3 linked regions of the Lytechinus pictus genome follow. The protein of the gene in region 2 purifies or fractionates together with the protein of the main gene of each other region. This does not show direct contact. Links are inferred from orthologs where the notes say so. Each region holds a gene or a part of one and is shown on either strand. Other genes may lie near its edges. The genes, in order: proteasome assembly chaperone 3-like, proteasome assembly chaperone 2-like and proteasome assembly chaperone 4-like.

Region 1 (7,453 bases), on a different chromosome or scaffold from region 2:
GATTTGGATTTTCTTCATGGTGCTCTCCTTTATTTCTTACCTAAGGAGAGGAGTATCAGACCGTGACACCTACTACAAAGCAATGCTTGCGGACAGGATGCGGTGTCCCCAGCTGTTTTTGTATTCAAAGAAAGATCAGATTGTTCCCTACAAAGACGTCCAGGGAGTGATTGCAGAAAGGCGTCGACAGGGCTTTGATGTCCTGGGGAGCGTTTCATGAAAGGACTTGTCGGACGTTTTATCCGACAAGTCCCATTTTATCCGACAGTTACCATAGTAACAATACCTCTCAGCCAATCAACATCAGAGAAAGATGTCAGATCTGACAACTTGTCGGATGAAAATGTTGATGAAACACCCCCCAGGAGGTGGTGTGGGATGACACGGATCATGTCGCTCACCTTCGGAAACACCCTCAAGAATATGTTTCTGCTTGTCTGAAGTTTGTGAATTACTGCTTAGAACGAGTTAATCAAGACTAGAGATGTATACTGTATAGGGATCTAGGGAGGGGAGTGAGGGATTTTCCAGGGCTTTAAAGAGTTGATTTGTGTCAATTTGATGACTATTTGCATTCTGCAAATGTCTTTAGAGAAAAAATGTCTTTAGAGATTTACTTGACCAATATTGCGTGGAGATATTATTGCTGTCTGGGGTATACACTGAATCAGATCCAGATGTAAAATCAGATCAGAAATCAGATGTAAAATAAGAAAATATTTTGAAGTTTTGCTTATCTTTCACAAAACAGTTAGGCCTATACACAACTCTGTGATATGTATGCAAATGAGAGAGCCGATGACATCAATTTGCTCACAATTATTTTTTTTAATGTGTAAAATATTTTTATTTTGATTGTCATGTGAAACAATGTTTATTATTCCTCCCTAAGCATGTGGGATGTCAATTGTCTTAACATTTTATGGTTCAATCAAGAGAGTCTTTATTGTCAAATCTGTAAAAAAATGAAATATTGTATATTTCAAACAATAAAAAGAAAATAAATAGTGAGTGACATCATCCGTTCTCTTATTGATAATTATTATGTGAAATAAGCGAAAGTTTGAAATGTCAAAACATTCTTATTTTACACCCGATTTCGATGAAATTTTCAGCCTAATGCTTGCTTGATCTTTCTCTGTTGGTTCAAATCAACTTTTTTCGAGGAGGGAATTAATGTGCATTTATTAGGCACTAAAGACCAAGTCATTCCCAACCAAAGTTTGTTTTGAAGAAATGGGGAAAATTAAAACCAGTTTTATCTCTGACATTTCATCAACATCGGAATTTAAATAGGAAAGAAAATAAAGTTTTGCATAAAAATATAATCCACAAAACAGTAATTATGTAAATGTTTCATCTTCAAGTTCAAGTTTATTTCAATTCTGCAAAGCATTATGCATGTCATCAAAGAAGTAACAATGAATTAACAATAATTAAAATGCAGAACTGAGGTGATTTATCAAAAAGCACAGTACAGGCCACCGTCTGGTGTATTATCGTACTGTTGAAGTGCAGTGTGCAAGTGTATGTACATCGTCCGATAAAAAATTGCTTACAGCGTGCAAGTAAACACATGATTGGTTGCAGAAGAGCACTGACAGTTCCTTGACCTTCTCGGACATGGCTGGATATTTCTCTGGAGGAAGGCACGTGTGGAGTTGGCCTTTTTCGTTATATGTATTTGTTGATTCCAGCTGAATTTCCTCTGCAGCTCAACATCAAGATACTTTGCCGTATTTTTATCAGATATAGTCTGATTTTTTGGACAGTATGCAAAAGAGGGAACCATCAACATCACATGCTTGATAATTTTTTTTATTTTAGCAAATTATATAAAATATTTTCATACTTATAATGTGAAAAAAGTTTAGATTCCTCCCTGAACCCGTGAAATTGGTGTTTTTGCATCCTATTGGGATGCAATGAGTATCTTTTAAATGGTTAAGCAAATTTTGAAATATTTTTATCTTTTAAAGTCAGGATCAAGTCAGGATTGAAAAAGGGTAGGCCTATGTCACTTTGAAGTAAAAAAAAAAAAAAGGGCACATGTTATGTCCAAACTTGTGAAAGATGTGTTTGGAATGGGACCAATATTTAAATATATGATATTGTATTATCTCAGAAACTCAAATACACCATTCTTTTATTTTTGGCCCTCTACTGTTTTGTAACTTCAGAAAAGTGTTTGTATTTGGAACTCTAGTCTAAATGAGATCAGTGTTTTACATCCAAATAGCATCTAGATTTACCCTATTTATACTTATTTTAGGCAAGCTTGTGTGTGTGTAGTACACAATTTATAGTTGACTTGAATGAAATATCCTAACATTTTCTGTCATATTGAGGATGAAAAATCTAGTTCCATAATTATGAATAAGTAATAAACGTACAGTGTAACTATGGTAAATGTTCATGTATCCAGTCAATTATTTTCTTAGTTATTAAGTTATTATATATTTCCAATTAAATCCCAACATAGGTCTATCAGCAAGCCAGGTGATATCATATTTTCTGAGCCTTAGTATTGAGGGTAAAAGGTCAAAGCTGTGATGGGCACTGGAGTAAGGTCACTGACCAAATTCATTTGCCCTAGTCTTGATAAGATATCTGTAATGATATGTTGGACTTTGGCTGTGATGTGTTCTCAAATAGAATATTGCAATATGAATTTTGATGTGTATACATAATTTTTAAATCATAATATAAATGTGCATTTTTAGAAAAGCCTGCCCATTTTACTTTCGAAATTGTAAATTATATTGTGCCAGAGGAGAACTAATATTTAATAGAAAATGGTTTAACTGTTAATTGTTAATGATGTGTATATTGATGATGTTGTTGTGATTGGTGTCAAAGCAGCTTAATATTCAGTTACCAATATAGTTATTTAACTCTATATCTTACAGGTTGGTATCTTACAAAGTAATTATTCTCTTGTACTGTTCATCAGTGTTCACTTCAAGGGCATTCACTTGTACTGTTCATGTATGAAATTATGCATACCTGTGCATGTGAGGATCAGATAATTTTATCAGTTATTTCCATTGAAATAAATTTATGACAATACTGCATGAAAGCCTGTGGGTCCTGCTATCCTATATGACCAAGACCAATTAAGGGGAGGGGACCTGTGCATCCCTTTAATCCCCCCCCCTAACAAAAAAAAAAATCTGATAATTTTCCTCTGACTGCATTCTACAAGGAATTGATGGTATGAAATATGAAGAAGCACTCCAAAACATAATAAAACACACAAAAAACCATGTATACCATGAAATATACTTTTAATATTCAGACATTCAGAGAAATGGAGAAAGAAAGGGGTGTCTCTGGGAAAAATAAGAGAAAGATTGTGAATGAATTGGAGAATGATAGGAGGTATTTCCTTTAGGAGAGGTAAAAAAAAAGAAGAGAGAAACTGATCTTGCAAGAGACATATATATATATTTGAAAGATTGACAAATGATATGAAAGAAAGAGAGAATGTGGAAATGCATAGTAGAGCAGGGGCCGCGGAACGGTTTTCAAAGTGGGGGGGGGGGCTGAGCCAAAAGTGGGGGGCTGACCATGCAAAAAATCACAATCGTATGGTCATTTTTGCGTTTTTGTACACGGTTTTGGAAAAAAGTGGGGGGGCTGAAGCCCCCCCGGTTCCGCGGCCCCTGTTGAGGAATACTAGGTAAGAGACAACAAATATAAAGTTTGTATAGTGAGAGACAGATATTAATGGTCTGGCATAGAATATGAGAGAAAAGAGAGAGAGAAATAAAATATTTGAAAGATCGGTAAAGGAAATGGGAGGGGTAATAAGTGGGAGAAAAAGAATAAAACAAGTAAAAGATGAAGAGAGAAATCTGGAAAAATGAACAACAGATTTTAGAAAGACCTACGGGAGAGAGAAGATAAATATAAATTTGAATACGAAAGAAGGAAATGTTATTAAGTGTGTGCAACATTTGACAAAATGAATAAGTCACTTTTTCCAAAAATTAATGTCTTTATCATGAAAGAGCTAGAGCTATATGAAAGAAATAATGATGTTGGTAATGTTTTCAAGGAAAAAGTAAAAACTCGTAAACTAAAAAAAAAAGAGGTGTATGGAGCAGTGGGGGCGGATGGGGCCAGGGGTTGACTTTGATTTAACCGTTATAGACATATACCTGGGGAAATCAGTTAAAATTATTTTAAAATTTAAAGTAAAATATTTTCAAGGGATGTTTTTTCTTTTACCCAGTTTTTCCCCCTCCCAGCCCCCTTGTTTTTTCTTCTTCTTTTCAGGCATTAAAAAAGGAGAAGACGATCGAACTTCCAGCCGCCCCCCCCCCCCCCCCCCCCCCCCCCCCCCCCTGATCAGCGCTTCCCAAGCTCGCCCAGATCACATCTGACATGTGCCGATCGATCGGGGATTTCCCTTTTCACTGGCTCCGCCCACATCGGCTACGGCACATTAACAAACAGCTGTCCTGTGGATTAAAAAGTCCTTGATTTAGGCTTTAGCCCGCATGATGGAAGTTCAGTCAACGTATCCAGTTACTAAAAAGGTAAGTGATTACTTGCAATATTGATAAATAAGGCTTAGGAGTCAATGCAATACTAGCATAATTTGAAAATGCAGTCGGAGCAAGAAATTGCTCAGGCCAGGCAGGGCCCCAGTCCCGTGCATTCATTATTATGCTTGGAAATGGAAATAGAATAGATTCGACCCAATCCCAATTTGATATTCCCATGGCCATATTGATCATGAGTAAATGAAGACTAGCCTACAAGTTATGGCTAAATCCGTTTGCATTTTGGTCTATTTACACTTTTAGGCTTAACTTTCGATGTTTCGTATGGTCGTTCATGTACTACTATGTAGATCTACGTGATTCGTAAAAAAAATGATTATGAATTATGATTCATTGACAATATCATGATATACTTATGAAAAATTGATGATAAAAAAACCCGAGCAGCAGATCTGCTGATTTAGCAATTTGTTTATGTCACTGATGTTGGCTGTCATTGTGCCTTTTTGCTCTAGGCCTAGAATAGATTCAATTTCAATTCAATTCAATGTCTTTATTTCCATATCAGTAAAAAAAAAAAAATCATATTTACAACACATAACATTATAAATGCATTTCTACTAATTCTAGTCATTAAATATTTACATACATAAAGAGAGCATAAAAAAAAAGGATTTCATAATTCATGTACAATAATCATCATCATCATCATCTGGTACGGGATGAAGGCGCAAGCCTGTAATTCCCGGTCGTTTCTTGTATGATTGGTCACTGAAAACTACTACTTCATGAGCTTGCGTGAGGAGTCATGGAAGCTCAAAGTGGTTTCTTTGCCAAAATATATCAATATTTCTTTTAAATTTGTCTGTTGTTGGCATTTGTATTAGGTTTTCAGGAAGACTATTCCAGTCATTGATGACTCTTCTACTGAAAGACTTATTTCTCACTTCCAGTTTGCTATGGGATTTCAATAATTTCATGGAGTGACCTCTTGTAGAGTTACTACCAGACTTGTAGAAGAAATGGTCTGGAGAAATGTTGACCAATCCATGCATAATCTGGTGGACCATTATCATAATCTCCTCTCCTCCTTCTTTTACCTTTACCTTTACCCGAGATTCTGGAAGAATGCTGATGATCCCAGCAGTCGTGCTTCCAGTTCAAGTCCTTCATCCTTCTCGTTAGTTAGGTATCTTCATAGCAGTCTAGCTTGGAAATCTGCACCGTCCTCAATATTAGTGTGGTTTATGCATCATAGGGTGAGCAGTACCGCTGGTCTGCCCACACCTTGTCTAGCCTTATTTTGAAACTGTTCACCGTCTGAGCAGTGACTACCTCTTCGGGCAGCGAATTCCAGTCGTTTATGATACGCTGGCTGAAAACATCTTGTCTGATCTTCGTCAAGCATCTGGGTTTTGAGAGCTTCAGACTATGCCCTCTTGTGTTGCCTGTTGTATACACAAAGAAAGTATCACCTGGAATGCGTTCAAATCCATGGATTATTTTGAACACCTGTATCATATCTCCTCGTCTTCTGCGGTACTCAAGAGAAGGAAGATTGAGTGCTTTTAATCTCTCTGTGTATGTGCAGTTTCTGATGGAATAGATCATTTTTGTTGCTCTCTTCTGTACCTTCTCAATGGCTTTACTGTCACTCTTAAATCTAGGATACCATATAGAGTTGCCATAGTCAATGATCGGCCTGACAAGTCCTTTGTACAGTTTTGGGATTGTAGATTTGTCTCTACATTCAAAACTGCGGCGAATACATGAAAGTATCCCATTCGCTTTTTTGACAACATATGCAACATGGTCTATAATAGAGTGAGTACATGTTAAGTTCCCTGAGTCTCCTTTCATACGGTACGTTTCTCAAGTCCTTCACTAGTTTTGTTGCTCGCCTCTGTACTCTCTCAACCTTCTTGGCATGTTCTGTAAATCTACCGTTCCAGATGACGCTCCCATATTTCAGATGTGGTCTAATTAATGTCTTGAAGAGAATGGGCAAGGTAGATTTGTTTAGTTGAGTGAAAGTTCTCTTTACGATTCCAAGCAGTTGGTATGCCTTATTAACAGCTAGAGACACATGCTGATGAAATTTCAATTGATTATCAACTGTTACCCCAAGATCCTTTTCAGTAGCTACTGACTTCACTTCTTGTTCCAACATATAAAATTTTGCTTCTGGATTATTCCTTCCGATGTGTAGAACTTTACATTTACTGCTATTGAAAGGTAACTGCCATTTCGCTGACCATAATTGTAGTCTATCCAGGTCCTCTTGAAGATCTTTGATCTTTGATAAGTCACTCACTATATTGTAAAGTTTGGTGTTGTCGGCAAATAAAGCAACATTACTCTTGTTGACAGCAGATGATAGGTCATTGATAAAGACTAGGAAGAGAATAGGTCCGAGAACACTCCCTTGCGGTATTCCGCTTGATACTGGAGACCATGGAGATAGTTCCCTGTTTACTCGTACACGCTGAACTCTTCCTGTCAAAAATTCTCGCATCCAGATAAGAAGTTGGCCCGTAATTCCGTGTCTCTCTAGTTTACGTAGTAGCCTTTCATGGGGAACACTGTCAAATGCTTTGCGAAAATCTAAGTACAAAACATCGATTGGCTTCCCTTCATCAAGCATCTGCGTCCATTCTTCAAGCACATACAGAAGTTGTGTGGAACATGACCGTCCTGGGATGAATCCATGTTGGTTATAATACAACAATTGATTATTTTGCAAATGATCCACTACAGCATTCCTCACAATCTTTTCCATTAGTTTTCCTGCTATCGATGTAAGACTCACCGGTCTGTAGTTAGAAATCTGTGTTCTATTTCCTTTCTTGGGAAGAGGAATTACAATTCCCTTTTTCCAGTCAGCTGGAATTTTACCTTCATGCATTGACTTGTTGAATATGATAGATAGTGGTTCTGCAATA
Region 2 (7,106 bases):
TAAGTTTCTTTGATTTTTCTCTTTGATATGGATTCAGCTAGTTTCAAGGGTTTCATTCTCCTTTAAGGATAGAAAGGCTTACTAATTTGGGAGATGTTTTCTATGTCTAAGTGTCATTATGTAATATGTCATGATGTTTACACCCATCTGCTGAATAGAGACAACCAAGGAGGGGCATACAAGAAAAGTCCCCGAATATGGAGAGGAGGCATATCAGCTTACCGGTAAGTGGTCTTTGATGTTGTCCTTCAGGTATTTTTTGCCACATCGATAGTGTCAGTGACTCCGGCTGTTAAAAACTGATGCCTTAAATACTCAGTTTAAGAAAATATGTCTGAAAGAAAATACAAGGATTCCTTTCACCATGCGTACATATGTAAAGGACATTGACAAAGTAAAGCTTCAGAAAACAGGTACACATGCCACTATTGTAGGGCTTACACTAACGCTACTGCTCGTTCCATGGAGATTTAGATCAATGTAAATCTTTGACGACATCCATGGTGAAATATGTCTGAGATAATATCTAAAACTGATGCAATTGGGATGATACCCCTACAGTATTGGTAAAACAAACAAATGTTCTGTATTTGTAATGATCATTTGTTCAAATAATAAGGCTGGAACATCTAAATTACAGCCATAATATAGTATCACTGCTTGAACATGTTGAATGGAGTGGGAAAACACTGAATTGTGCAATAATCTTCAAAGTAATAATCACTCCTCAGAGTGCCAAAACAGACTCAGTGATGATCTGGCGAGTCTACATGTGACTCCTTACTGCATGTACTGTGCTATAAATCATCTCTGAACCAATCCAGAAAGACCCAAATTTAGTGTATTCCACCTTACAAACAGAGAGCAGATCAAAAACTGAGGGTCAGATGGTAACAAGCCAACCTACCTTTGCATCATTCTAGACCATTCTTTTTCATACAAAAAACATGCTGCAAAAACAAAAGCAAAATATGGAGCAAGGAATACCTTTCTGAAGAAGCTGGGAAACAGAAGGGGAATTGACAGATACCAAATCTATCTGTACCACAAATCTTGCTCTATCCTTCTCAACTGCTGCGTAGGCAGACCTTGCTGCTAAATATTTACCCCAAGTCTTGAATGTAGCTTGCAGAGCCATCACTGGCTGTTTGCGATTAACAGAAGTGAGTAATCTTTACCTTCTCTGTATTATTGCCCCACCGCACGTCAGAAGAGAAGTTATCAGCACAGATCGATGAAAGAATAAACAATCAAGAAGATAGTATTCCACTCGTCAACATGAACCTGCCAAGAGACTCAAATCTAGACATAGTTTTCTCCGCTCAACAGAATCCCTTGATGACTCTGCACGCATGAAAGCGTCACCCTCTGGTCTAACAATCTCCAGTCTGTGATGTACAATCTCACCTATGGACTTAGTACATCACTCTCCAGGTTCAAGTGAAGAATGGCCTACCTGATCTTTTTGAATCGCCAATGGGGCTACAATAGGGATGGAGAAACTACCTGCAACTGTAAGGAAGATCATAGGATACAACACTTTCGTGTCTGCTCCCTCCTACCAGAGCTATGAACTGCCACTGCCTTTGCCACTGCACAAGAGCCTTTTTACAGGAAAGCTACATGTAGATTTTGTACCATTTTAAACAGGACATGACATCTTTAATGAACCAAGAAGTAAAAAGTGTGTCATTAATAATGAAAGGAAGACGACACCTTATGGTAATCTGACATTTGGGGGAAAAGTGATTATTTACTCATGGATAGTTGGATGGGGGAGGGGGCAGGGACTTAATAGGTTCCTGATGGGGTTGTCGGTTAGGTCATGGACCTAGGTCCACGATTTGGCTAAAACTTTGCTGAAATCGGTGCCTTTATTCTTGTTGTTAGTGTTTTAAGGTGAAAATTACAATTTGCCAGTGAAAGAGCAAAGATATTCGATGCTAACATTCTTACCCAATATCTACATACCCCCCTTAAAAAGCCACCTTTTGGAGAGACAAACTCCTGCACACCTAGGCTCCCATTTGGTCACTACACAGGTCCTGTGTAGTAGAGGGTTCAAGCAAGATCTGGCTTTTGTGTTGAACGACTCCAGATCTTTGGCAGCGCATGGCTCTGGTGGTAGGGGGGCAGACCAAAAGGTGATGCACTATCTGATCCTCCCCTCAGTCATAGATAGTGTCTGCATCCCTGCTGTAGCCCCGAACTGCATATTAAGGACTTTGCATGCACCTTCCTGTTCCAGACCATAGGCGATTAAGACATAGCCAGGATGGCCATTTGTTACTTGATCCTGGGGGGCATGATTCGCTAGGTCACTCGGAAAGCTTTTGCGTCACAGACTGTCTTGATTCCAGTCTCTTTTTAGCAGGTTCATAGTTAAAAAGTGGAGGAAGGGCATATTTTTTGCTTGTTTTTCCACTCGTGCTGATACCTCTATGTGTGGGGGGACTGTGCCACACAATAGGTAAAGATCATCTACTCTTTTTGGTAGCAGACAGTCGGAAATTGCTCTGCAAGCAGCATTCAGGACTGGGTTAAACTTGTAGCATACATCAGAGCTGTTGAACGGATGGTTTGGCATCTGCTCCCCATATCGTGTTAGCAAGCCTCTTTTTGATGTTGTTTCTTTCTCCAGATTTTGCCTCTGTTTTGGCAACATGTTCTTTGTACGCAAGAGTGACGTCAAGGTAGGCAGGCTTGCTGGTGTGTTTCATTCATTTTCAACACCATCTGACCATCAGTTTCCGCTCTGCATCTCATCTATTGTTAAGGTGGAATACGCTAAGTTTGGTTTTCTCTGGATAGTAAAGATCCAGATATGCCAGAGCATCACTGAATGTTTTTTCCACCTCTTCAAATGACTGCTTCTGTGAGGCAATGTACCGTTCATCAGCATAGGTAGCTCGTTGGACAAGGACACTTCTTTGTGGGTGACCATTTTTCTGCCTCCACCATTTGCTGCTGAAACCACTGAGATTCACAAGCAACCGGTTTGAGGGCATGTTCTGAATGAGCCTTGTCATCTTGACGTTCTTTGTCATCACAATGACTTTCCTTGTAAGTAGGCCTACACTATGATTAACTGTTTCATAAGCTGCAGAGAAGTTAACAAAGGCTACTCCAGTTTTCAGACCTTCCTCAAACCATCTGATGTACTGAGTCAGATTCATTACTTTTGATAAGTAAAGGACTTTCCTGGCCTGAATCTTGCCTACTGGAATGAAGAACTCAGTTACGAAGGGAGCAATGCGGTTAAGCAGGAGCCTTTCAAAGGGCTTGTACATGTATGTGTGAGAGAGTAGAGAGATTGTTCTGTAACTCTTTCGGCTGATTTGGGTCTTTGCCTGGCTAGTTAGGCAACTACCCTCAATTTCCTCTTGCCATTGTTTTTTTCTTCATGCAAACAGTGGTTTAACATGTCAGCAGCCATTGGGCTGCAACAGATCCAAGAACTGTGATCTGCTCACAGATGCCATCATCTAATCCGGTTGCCTTGTAGCTCTTCATTATTTTCTTAAATAACAGCACAAGTAGACAAGACGTTCATGCTGAATGGTCTTGTGTATTCAAATGACTCTTAGTTGGGAAGCTGTCACTGCACTTTTGGGGAGGTTGGCACTTTGCGGGCAATATAGGGTTACCGTGAATGTACACAAGAAGATAGTGAGCCACTTGGTCGGTGGTCACTAGGGGTATGACTCGCATAGTCGTTTTCAAGGATCTGAATTGTTTTGCCCGGCTTTTCTGCTGTTGTGAGTCATGTCCATTGATTTATAGAACTACTGTCCCTTTCTTTTTTTACTTTCCATAATGGCAGTTGTCAATTTTCCCCCACATTCAAGTGTATCTGCACCAAAGGGGTAATGCTCAAAGCTCCTGAAATATTTATTGTACAGCAGCTTCGTCATCCGTCCAGCCTGGAGGATAGTTTGTACGGCAACCTCGTGGAATATTCTTCTGTGATGATTTCTTCAACAGCTTTTTAAATCTGAGAAATATTGTAAAAATTCTTGAGTACTAGAGCTAGGGGATCTATAAATAACACCGGCGATAATATTCTTATTTCCAGGAATCAAAATTTCAATGAAGAGGTTGTTGCAAACAGAAATTTCATTCAAAATAGTATAGTTACGTGATTTGCGAATGAGAGCAACACCACCACCAACTTTATTTTTTTCTATTTTTATTGATGAACTCATAATCCTTTATATGAAATGGGTGGTTTAAATCGTGATTTAACCAAGTTTCCGTAAGGCCGATCAGAGAAAGTGGGTTTGACATGGGCTTACCTATAAGTGAAAGGTCATCAAAATGTCGATTCAAACTTCTGATATTTAGGTGAAGTAAGGAAAATGTATTTAATTCAAATTCTTTCAAGACACTGGAAAACTGATTGACGGTTATGTAATTAGTAATTCCTCGTTGGGCTGGGTCATTGAAATCAAAATCAAACTCCAAGTTTACAGATGAAGAGTTCATGCTATCTCTGATAAGATTGTCGTATAAATTAGTAGAGGTAAGAGAGGCATCATTAAATTGAATAGGTCGATGTCACTCGAAGAAATCGTCATTACTAAGCCTATGGAAAGGCAATGATTGTCTATCAAACGAATCAGACATCGTCATAGATTATAAAGTATTTTCTCAATAAAGATATTTGGCGATTAAAAGAAATCATGTCTAAAATGGCGCTATCAGCAAGATATAGAGGATGTGGGGAATGAACAACGTCCACTTGAAGTAAGATTGGAGACGAGTAGATGGATAACAAATGCAAATGGAAGAAAGTGGTGATAAGGAACAAACAAGTGGAACGCCTCTGGCAGTCTCGCCTGCATTACGCGATTTAATATAGCAGCAGTGCTAACTTTGAAAACTACTATAAAATAATCATTCACAAAAACACCATTCATATAATGACATAATACCACGTTCATTGACCATAGATGACATTTGAACGGTGACTTAAGACTTGTCAACTACACCTATGTCCACATTTCATTCACTCTTTCCATAAACTTTCAAAGTTATGATGGCAATTCAACAATTACCCCAACATGGCATAAGTTTATTGACCTTAACTGACCTTTGACCTGGGTTTTGTGACCTGAAACTTACAGGGGATGTTCAGTGATAATTGATTACTCTTATATCCCAAGTTTTATGAAATAGATCCATAAACTTTAGAGTTAGGATGGTAATTCAACAAATGGTCGCATGTCATAAGGTGCTCCAATTTCGCGAACAGGGTAAAAATGGTCAAAAATTTTATTTTTTGAAATGTTATAGCTATTACCATTCTCTAAATAATGAAAAAGTTTTACGTCTCGAATACCTTTATTTTTCCTTGAAATGACTAATTAACATATAATTATTACATAGACGTCAATGTAAATGTGAATTTTGAAATGCGTTTTTCTCAAATTGGACCTGCTGCACATAAAATAAAATAAAATGTCAAAAGTTAATGCAACATTGGATCACCCTAGTAAATTGCAGTTATAATCTTGAAACATCAATAATTAAATCTGTACCAAAAATCGAATAATTATCTATTATTGTATGCATATTAATTATACTAATTAATCAACAGTATTTAATTTCACATTTTTGCCCCAAAAATACCTATGGGCAATTCCATGTTACTCACGTTACACAATTTAGGCACCTTAACATATTGTTATTGCCATATTTTGCTTACTGTGGGGTTTGACAATCTATCTTTTCTGTACATTTAATTTCTCAAAAATGACATACATTCCCATGTAAATGGTAAATAAACATGATATAGATGACCAAAATGATAATTTTCAGGCTCCCAATTGAATACATATAAAATTTAGAAATATTCAAGATCACCAAGATAGTTCTAATTGGACCATTGCCATGGCAACGGCTTGTTTTTCCCCAGAAAAATAAAAGACATAATTAAAAAAACGTTATAAAATATGATTTATCTCTAATTTCCCCCTAATTTCAGTGTTAAACAAAGATATTTTGGTTGCTAAATGTATAAATTACATCTCAAGCCATTGCCATGGCAACCAAATAACATCTAATTTACAAAAATAACATGGTTGACAACACAATGGACAGGTGGAAAATAGAATTAAAATTGACTTAATCTGTATGCTTAAGTTTTTACCCCCTCATTTGAACAAAATATACAGAAAGTGTTCTGCAGGAGTTCTTTATAAAGATAAAAAATAATGTTGCCTTGGTAATGCTTGAATTAAATAAAAAAAAAACAATGTTGCAGAGATCCCGTTGCCATGGCAACAGCCTATTTCCCTCTAGAAAGGTAAAAATATTGATAAAAATGTAGAATATATATACATGTATGATCATCATTCCATTTTCAATATTTTAAGGTACTAATCAAGATATGTTTGTGACTAAATTTTTAAATATAACATATTAAGCCATTGCCATGGCAACCAGATAACATCTAGTTTAAAAAAAAAACAACATGGATAACAAGTTATGGACAGGTGAAAAATACAATGAAAATTAACTTAATGTACATGCATAAGGTTTGACCTACTCAATTAGTTTAGGGGAAACAATACAGTGAGTGTTCTGCATGAACTAATTAGAATAAACATTGATGTTGCCTTGGTAATACTTGAATTCAACAATCAATGTTGCAAATGACCTGTTGCCATAGCAACGGCTCATTTACCCAAGAAAAGTACCAGTTTTGATTAGAAAAAGGACTGTACAATCTGATTTTTCTTTCATTTCCCCTAATTTTAGGGTAAGAATGGATATGTTTGCTGATAACATACAAATAACATCTAAAGCCATTGTCATGGCAACCAAATAACATCTCATTTGAAAAAAAAAACGTGGTTGACATGATAATGGACAGGTGGAAAATGCAATCTATAACAATTAACTCAAGATTTGACCCAGTCAATTAATTTTGAACAAAGATTACAGTGTTTCGCATTAGTTCATTAGAATGATAAAATTTGAGGTTGCCTTGGTAATGCCTGAATTTAATGATAAATAAAAATGTTGCATGTGGCCCGTTGCCATGGCAACGACTCCTTTTTTTCCGAGAAAAGTACCAAATTTGATCGAAAAACAGTTTAGAA
Region 3 (7,240 bases), about 7.5 Mb from region 2:
GCAGGATTTTTCCTCTCTTTCATGTCTTTCGTTGAAGTGGGGGTATAGGTAAGAATGTTTAATCGTTAAGAACATACTAAGGTGAGTAGGGGGCGGTAGGGGGTTCAAATCGCAATCGAATATTTTTTTCTCCATTTTTCAAAAATATCATTTTTCAATATTGGTACGAAGTTTGGATATAATTTTGTTATTTTTTAGTTTATATAGATTTTCACTTTGAGGGATATCGCTGGAATTAAATTGTGGTAACTTTATCTTTAACTTGAACATCGAATTGATAGAGGTGTTAACATCATAGGCTCATGAAATCCCCGGATTAAATATTCCAGTAGAATGATAAATGCAAATTAACATTATTAACGAACATAATAATATATGTTTTAAGATCAAAAGTTTGGCTGAAATGGTATAAGGGAGTATAGGGGAAAAGGAATTTTCTAAATAAATAAATATTAATTTTCAAAGCTTGGCCAGGATCGTAATATTGTGATTTGGAGCAGGGGCGTTTCGTTTGGGGTCTTGGGGGCAAAGCCAAAATGGGCACCTTTAAATTTGTCAAAATGGCCATTTTGGTGCAACGGATATTTTCACCATGAAATTATCATCTGTGTGAGTCAGATGTGTGTTTTGTACTAAATAAGTTGAGGAAAGCGTTTTAAAAGTGATTTCTGGTTGATAAGATATCGTATATTGTGGCTTTATTCTTTCCGCAAGAGAGTGTAGCGAGCGAGCGCTTTTTCAAAAATTTACAAATCTGAAGATGTAAAACTCGCTTTTTGGTCAATAATGGCGCTAATAACTGTTAAAAGGGTATTCTCACAAGATGTTGCGAGCGCGAACCGCGAGCTCAAACTTTGGGATATTTCAATAAGACATGAAAATTAAAAATTCCAAACAGTTTTTGTAATCATGAAAATCTAACTAAATAATTAACGCGAGCTGAATGTTTTTTATATACCGACCAGAAAAGGAACCTGTTAAAGACTGCATTTAGTGACTCATGAATAGGATACATATCTCATCAATCGAATAATGCAAGCGCGAAGCGCGAGCTGAAAATTTGTGACATTCCAACCTGAAAACTAGACATTCCAAGCATTTTTATAACCAGAAACAGAGTACTTTACAAAACAATAATTTATGCGAGCACGAAACACGAGCCCCGAAATTGTGATATTCCAACCCGACAACTGAACATTCTATATAAGCATTTTTGTTACCATGAACAGGCTGCGAGTACCTTACTAAACAATAACTGATGCGAGCGCGAAGCGCGAGCTAAAATTTCCGATTTTCTAACCTAAAATGTATTATGTTTAACTTCAAAAAGGGTATTTCATTTCGAAAAGGGAACATGTTATTTAAAAAAAGGGATTTTTTCCTACTACGATTTTTTGGGGAGGGGGGGGGGGGGGCAAGTGCCGCCAGCCCCCTGGTTCCGCCGCCCCTGATTTGGAGCATAATTCATCAAGAAGTTTGGATATATGGTTCGTTTTTATCGCTCTTTCTATGACTCTCGAGTCCCTATTAAGGTGTGACAGAGGTATATCCAAGCCACACTGTCAACAGCCCTACCGCTAGACCGGTACTAACTAATATGATGATTCAAACAGCTGATTACACGCGCAGGAAACAAACAGGAAGCCCAGGACCTCCTGCCAAAAGGAGAATGACCTCCATCAACAGGTGCCTATCTAGGCAGAAAATGAGGATGATGCTCAGCATCTAGGCCTATAAGTGTAAGGGCATATCGAGTGGGGGAGGGGACATTTTTGTCAATGGTTGGGCCTACCATAGTTACGGGCAAACATAAAAAAAATACAATACAATAATTCAACCCCTCCCCAAGTCAATGATTCGAACATTGAGGTACTATCCAAGGGGGTGAGGAACTGGGAGTTGCAGCCCCTGCACTTTTCAAGGAATGAGTAGTAAAAGTAATAACGACCATCTGATTTTCTTCTTTTTTTTGCATAGCCAGCCGCCCCGCCCCCTCCTCACTTTCAAAACCGTTCTGCGGTCCACTACCGGCTTTGGGAGTTTGAAGGGCGTAATTTTAATGCTCGCATCGACATTTTTATATGATTTATACTTGCATCGACTTTCAAGTATATGAACATGATATGCGGATGGTGATGAGGGGGGGGGGGGGGGCTAGCTAGCTGTGCCACTTGTTTCAATTGAAAACGGAGTGGATAAAGCCCAGGAGGCTGGAGGGTGGGCTAGTCGCCGGATGGGCTGACTCATATACTAAGGGTGCTAATTTTCCCCGGTAATTTCTCCCAATTTGATTAGCCTGGATGATTCAATGATAATAGAATGTAAAAACTGGAGAATTTTTGGGCTTTTACTGCGAGTGTGTGTGGGGAGAGATAGATGAAGAGAGAGAGGGGGTGGGGTAGAGGGGGTGGGTGAGAGGGAGTTGGGGGTATAAGGGGAATCGGGTTGGGGTGCAGGGATTCAGGGATTCAGGGATATATATATATATATATATATAGGTTCAAACAAAGAAAAGTATAAAAACTCCGTGGACAGTAATATTTTAACGAATTTTCGCCCATAGGGCTTTGTCAAGTTATGACAAATTTATTAGATTGCGTCAAAATAATGCATCATAAAAATGCGCGGTATCCAAGCAGTGAGCAAAAGCGCACAAAGGATGACGAAAAGGATACGTCATAAAGGGGAAACGAAAGAAGACAGTAGGAGGAGTAGATAGAGAGCGCGTGAGAGAAAGAAGAAGAGAGAGTGGGTGAGAAGGAGGGAGATAAGGAAGAAAGAAAAAAAGAGAAGAAAAAAGAAAAGGAAAGAGAACAGGAAAGAAAGACAAGGAAGAGAAGGTAAAATAAAAATAAAAAAAAGAAGAAAACAAATATCCACGTCAAACGAAATGAGTGGAAAGAAACATTGAGAGAGAAAGAAAGAAAGAAAGAAAGAGCGGGTGAGAAGGAGGGAGATAGGGGAGAAAGAAAGAAAAAAGAGAAGGAAAAAGAAAAGGAAAGAAAGGAAGAGTGGGTAAAAGAAAAAAAAATAATAATAATAATAATAATAATAAAAAGAAAGAAAAAGAAGAAGAAAAGAAATATCTACGTCAGACGAAATGAGTGGAAAGAAACATTGAGTCCATTGGGTTGGAGACATCCAAGGCGATGGATAATCTTCTCTTCCAAAAGCTTTCTGTCCTCATCACTTCCTTTGCAAGATAGAATTCCGAAGATCTTCATATCATCTATGGTGTGCCCAGGCAAATTGAAGTGACGGGCCACAGGAAGACCTTGAGTGTTGAGTCTAACGGACCTTAGGTGTTCAGTAGCTCTGTCGGCCATCCTACGCTTGGTTTCCCCGATATAGATCAAGTCACAGCGAGAGCAGACGATGGCATAAATCAGGTTGGTGGTGGTACAGGTAAAATCTTCCCTTATTTCCCACGTGCCATTCGGCCCCTTCAGCAAAGTGCAATCAGAAACAAAACGGCACGTGTTGCACCTACGTCTCCTGCAAGATGTTGTTCCTTGCCGCTGGGATTGATTGACTGCAAGTGGTTTCATTCTGGAGTGAACGAGTAAGTCCCTCAAACTCTTGTCCCTCAAACTCTTGTCTTGCCGTTTTTTATTATTTTGGTTTAGTACCGGCGGCCCCAGTCCACACCTCGCGCAAATCGGACTCTAAACACGTAGTGTTGGGGCAAAAAGGACATCCTTTATAAAACATTTTGATTTTGTTTTATCATCCCCGCATATTTGACCCTAAACACGTATATTTTTCAAAGCGAAATAGATACCCTTTTTTCAATATTTTTGTGTTTTTGACACCCTTATCACGTTACGTACGTAACGTGCCCTATCTTGAAAAAGACATCCTTTTTACGTGTTTTTTTTGGTCGCGCACGGTATCCACTCGTCAATGTAAGTGGCCCCCGGCCCCCGGCCGCCCCCCTGGATCCGCCTATGTATGTATTCGACGTGCCTGCAAGCATGTTCATCCTCGACTCGTCGATCATTTATCTTGTCATCTTGACAAGTCGCGAGTCGATGTCACCGTCTTCGGTAATCAACTCACAAATCTAGCATATTGATATGTAGCTGTCGTCTATATAGATCTGGAAGAAATATATCTCATTCTTGAACAAAGGCTAATTGAGAGTCATCGAGGTATGTCATGCAAGTAAGAAGGGATTTTAAAATCGTGAGATTGTGAGTAGAAAAATAACCAGATATTTAAGTCATATACCAAGTAAGTATGTAAGTATATTAGGTATAAACATGACGTCTTCGATTTTCTTTAGAATACGTAATCATTTGTGAAAGTAGAAATTCCGACTTCATATTTTTCTCGTGATCAAACGAGTGCCCCACGTATTCATAATTGTGTTATGTTTGTCATGTCAAATTTTACAATAATGAATGTGCATGATCATGAATAATTTGTTTGAATTTGGATATGGTTTATCATGGGTAGCAATATGTTCAGTCTTTGTTGATTCTATTCCTAAGTTACAATACACTTCAGAACAAAAGATCATCTTTAAGATATCACCTAGCTTAGGAAGTACAAAGTCAAAGAAGACAAATTGGGCAATTTGTGACAATGTCAATGATTGATTGGTGTCTGCAATGACTGCAACTTGCAAGCTTCATTGGGGAATGGGGATTATATTTTTTTTAATTCACCAAACATTATAGTCTAGTAAATTAAAACAAATATAATCCCCAATATTTCTATAATGAAAAACAGATTATCAGTGAATGGAATGAAGTCTTAAGTTTTAGTTTTTGTTAAAAGTGACATACCAGAATGTTCAAAAACTGATTTTGATTAGTACTGACTTGCACTCCTAGTACCAATGAGGTCCAAACATTAACATGTATGGACCTCATAGGCGACAATGCGTTAAAAACAGGTTAGAAGTCCTGCACCCAAGTATTTTTATGATATTAGTGATTATTACTCGAAAAATGCAAGCTTTGAGCCTTTGTCCTCATTTGTTTAGCATTTATTAAAAAATTACCCATTAACTATAATCCTACTCATATTCTAAATGTTATAAAATAAAGGGAAACTTACATTTGAGTCCTTTTTCGATCTTTTCTTGGCAGTCAGTCCGGTCCCGTCGAGTGCGATCAAAGCGGTACGAAGCTGATTTTCAGATCACGTGATACGAGTAGTCATCACCTGATCGATCGACTATCCTTTTTTAAAGACCGCAACAATTATAAATTTTATTATAAAATATATATAGAATAAATAATTGCATGATATTATATATATTTCTACAATTAAAAATATTTTGTGAGATGAATTTAATATTTGACGTAAAAATCGCTATTCAACAAAATATTTATTAAAAAATAAAAATCAAACAAAATAAAAACGCCTTGGACACAGTGCAAAAAACCTAACAATTTGGCCGCGTTCTTAACAACTATCGTAAGGGGCGCTCTATTTATAAATAAAGTTGCATATGTAGCTGTCTACCGCGACAGGAACAGCCGCAGAATTGAAGCCAGAAGCGTGGGAAATTGCCAGAAAATTCAAGAAAAGAACCGGTGAGTACCGATTTAACAGTACTAATTTATTAAGTAACATTTATTGAATCATTACAAGATTTATTTTTTAGTAAAACAAAGCTTAGTTCTAAGCTAGGGCGGCCCAAATGCGCGTGAGTGGAGTCCCAGTTTATTAGCACGGGTAAGTATTGGGGTGTCGCCTAGAGTGGTGACTTGGTACATATTCGAGTCTTTTGAGAGGCCCTAGCCTTCCACTCATTTAATAAACAAAGTTGCGATAGGCCTTGTTCTCTGTTGTTAGGAATCTCTGTGTGGGGGAAATATGGTTGGCAATGTTTGGATTATTTTATCTTGTTCTTGCCTTTTTGGGGATCAGCAAATGCTTGATTTTGTTTTACAGTCAGTTTCCACTACAACTACTGTATTCATCATATAACTTGGCTCTGAAGTAAATTGAGTTCTTTTAATATTTCATATGAATTAAAAATAGAGATTGTTAAATGACAATTTTCTTGCAATTTTACTTTACACAATTAGAGGCCGAGACAAAAAATGCTCAAAATTAGTTTTTGAGCGCTTTTGTGAATGAAAAAAAATTATCCCCAAGTTACTAATGAAAAATAAATCACAACCATATGGAAAGTTTTTTGGGTTACAAAAGTGATATTTTTAATTTTGTTAAATTTTTAAATTAAATAGGTAGGGTGGTTGCAGTGAACAAGTGTAGCCTTCATGCTATCGGTGGAAAGTAAAATAAAGTAGCACACAAATTTTTTTAATTACAAACAAAGAATTCAATGTAAAGGCATGCAATGAACTTCGAAACCATCTGTGCCAAAAATCAAGAGAAAATAAGCACTATTTGTAATATTACAATTGGAAGAAAAGTTACTGAGTTGTTCCATGAAACCTGTCCTGTAGTATTTTTTTGGGGGGGAAAGCAGTACAAATACTGTAAAAGATGACTAACAGTCAGGATCTCTGTACGGGTACAAATACAATACACTATCTGCATAATTGAAGTCAAAATACATCACACTATTTATTACCTTGAAGCACCACACTTCCATCTTCATGGAGATAGATAATAGTGTGGCAGGGTTTGGGGGCTTTGTAGTCCATTAATAACCCAATTTTGATAGTCTTTGTTTAAAGGTGAGGAGTGTGGATGACTTGATGGCTTCTCCTGGGAGTTTATTCCAGCTGTCAATGACTCTTTTATTGAAGAATTTAAATTGAATATAAATCCTAAAGACAGAAATATATCTTTGACAAAAGCAGGTCTTTATCACTAGTGGTTCAACTGTTATTGGGAATGTAAACAAAGGAATGGATCCACTGGTCAACGGATCTTTGTTAAGTCGCCATTTGCTCATTGCACGAGAGATGCTGAAAATATCTATACCACAATTTCAATTTATTTGGCAAAATAGTGCACTTACAAAATGATGTGCTTCCTAACACATCCTGCCACATACATGTAAAGTTAATGCAGGATGTGATCATGAAATTCTTATGGCTCATTGAGTAGCTTCACAAACTTCTGCAATGCCTTGGTTATGAAGTGCTGCTGTCAGGTTTGGTACAACAAATTCTCTTTCGTGGTTATTTTGAAGAATTGCCTACTTAAACTGCAATGCAATACTAGGGTTGTTGTTCCATCCACCGCTTCATCAAATGTGACAAAAACATTTTAAGATGGTCTTACGTAAACAGGCATATATGCAAATGGA

What was found.
Region 1: the proteins of proteasome assembly chaperone 2-like (region 2) and proteasome assembly chaperone 3-like purify together in Homo sapiens (affinity purification with mass spectrometry; 4 studies listed by BioGRID and IntAct, counting the BioPlex papers as one, with this or other methods). This does not show direct contact. The link is inferred for Lytechinus pictus from reciprocal best matches to the Homo sapiens genes PSMG2 and PSMG3.
Region 3: the proteins of proteasome assembly chaperone 2-like (region 2) and proteasome assembly chaperone 4-like purify together in Homo sapiens (affinity purification with mass spectrometry; 3 studies listed by BioGRID and IntAct, counting the BioPlex papers as one, with this or other methods). This does not show direct contact. The link is inferred for Lytechinus pictus from reciprocal best matches to the Homo sapiens genes PSMG2 and PSMG4.

The regions. Positions count from the first base shown.
Region 1 is NC_087255.1:4,224,183-4,231,635, forward strand, and holds the start of proteasome assembly chaperone 3-like, read left to right. Parts: upstream 1-4,380; 5' UTR 4,381-4,505; coding exon 4,506-4,544; intron 4,545-7,453. Other genes in the region: transmembrane protein 53-A-like, read left to right, coding at 1-211, 366-482. UniProt on the Homo sapiens protein: Chaperone protein which promotes assembly of the 20S proteasome. May cooperate with PSMG1-PSMG2 heterodimers to orchestrate the correct assembly of proteasomes.
Region 2 is NC_087246.1:42,917,799-42,924,904, forward strand, and holds the start of proteasome assembly chaperone 2-like, read right to left. Parts: upstream 3,030-7,106; coding exon 2,787-3,029; intron 1-2,786. UniProt on the Homo sapiens protein: Chaperone protein which promotes assembly of the 20S proteasome as part of a heterodimer with PSMG1.
Region 3 is NC_087246.1:50,377,348-50,384,587, reverse strand, and holds the start of proteasome assembly chaperone 4-like, read left to right. Parts: upstream 1-4,127; 5' UTR 4,128-4,241; intron 4,242-7,240. UniProt on the Homo sapiens protein: Chaperone protein which promotes assembly of the 20S proteasome.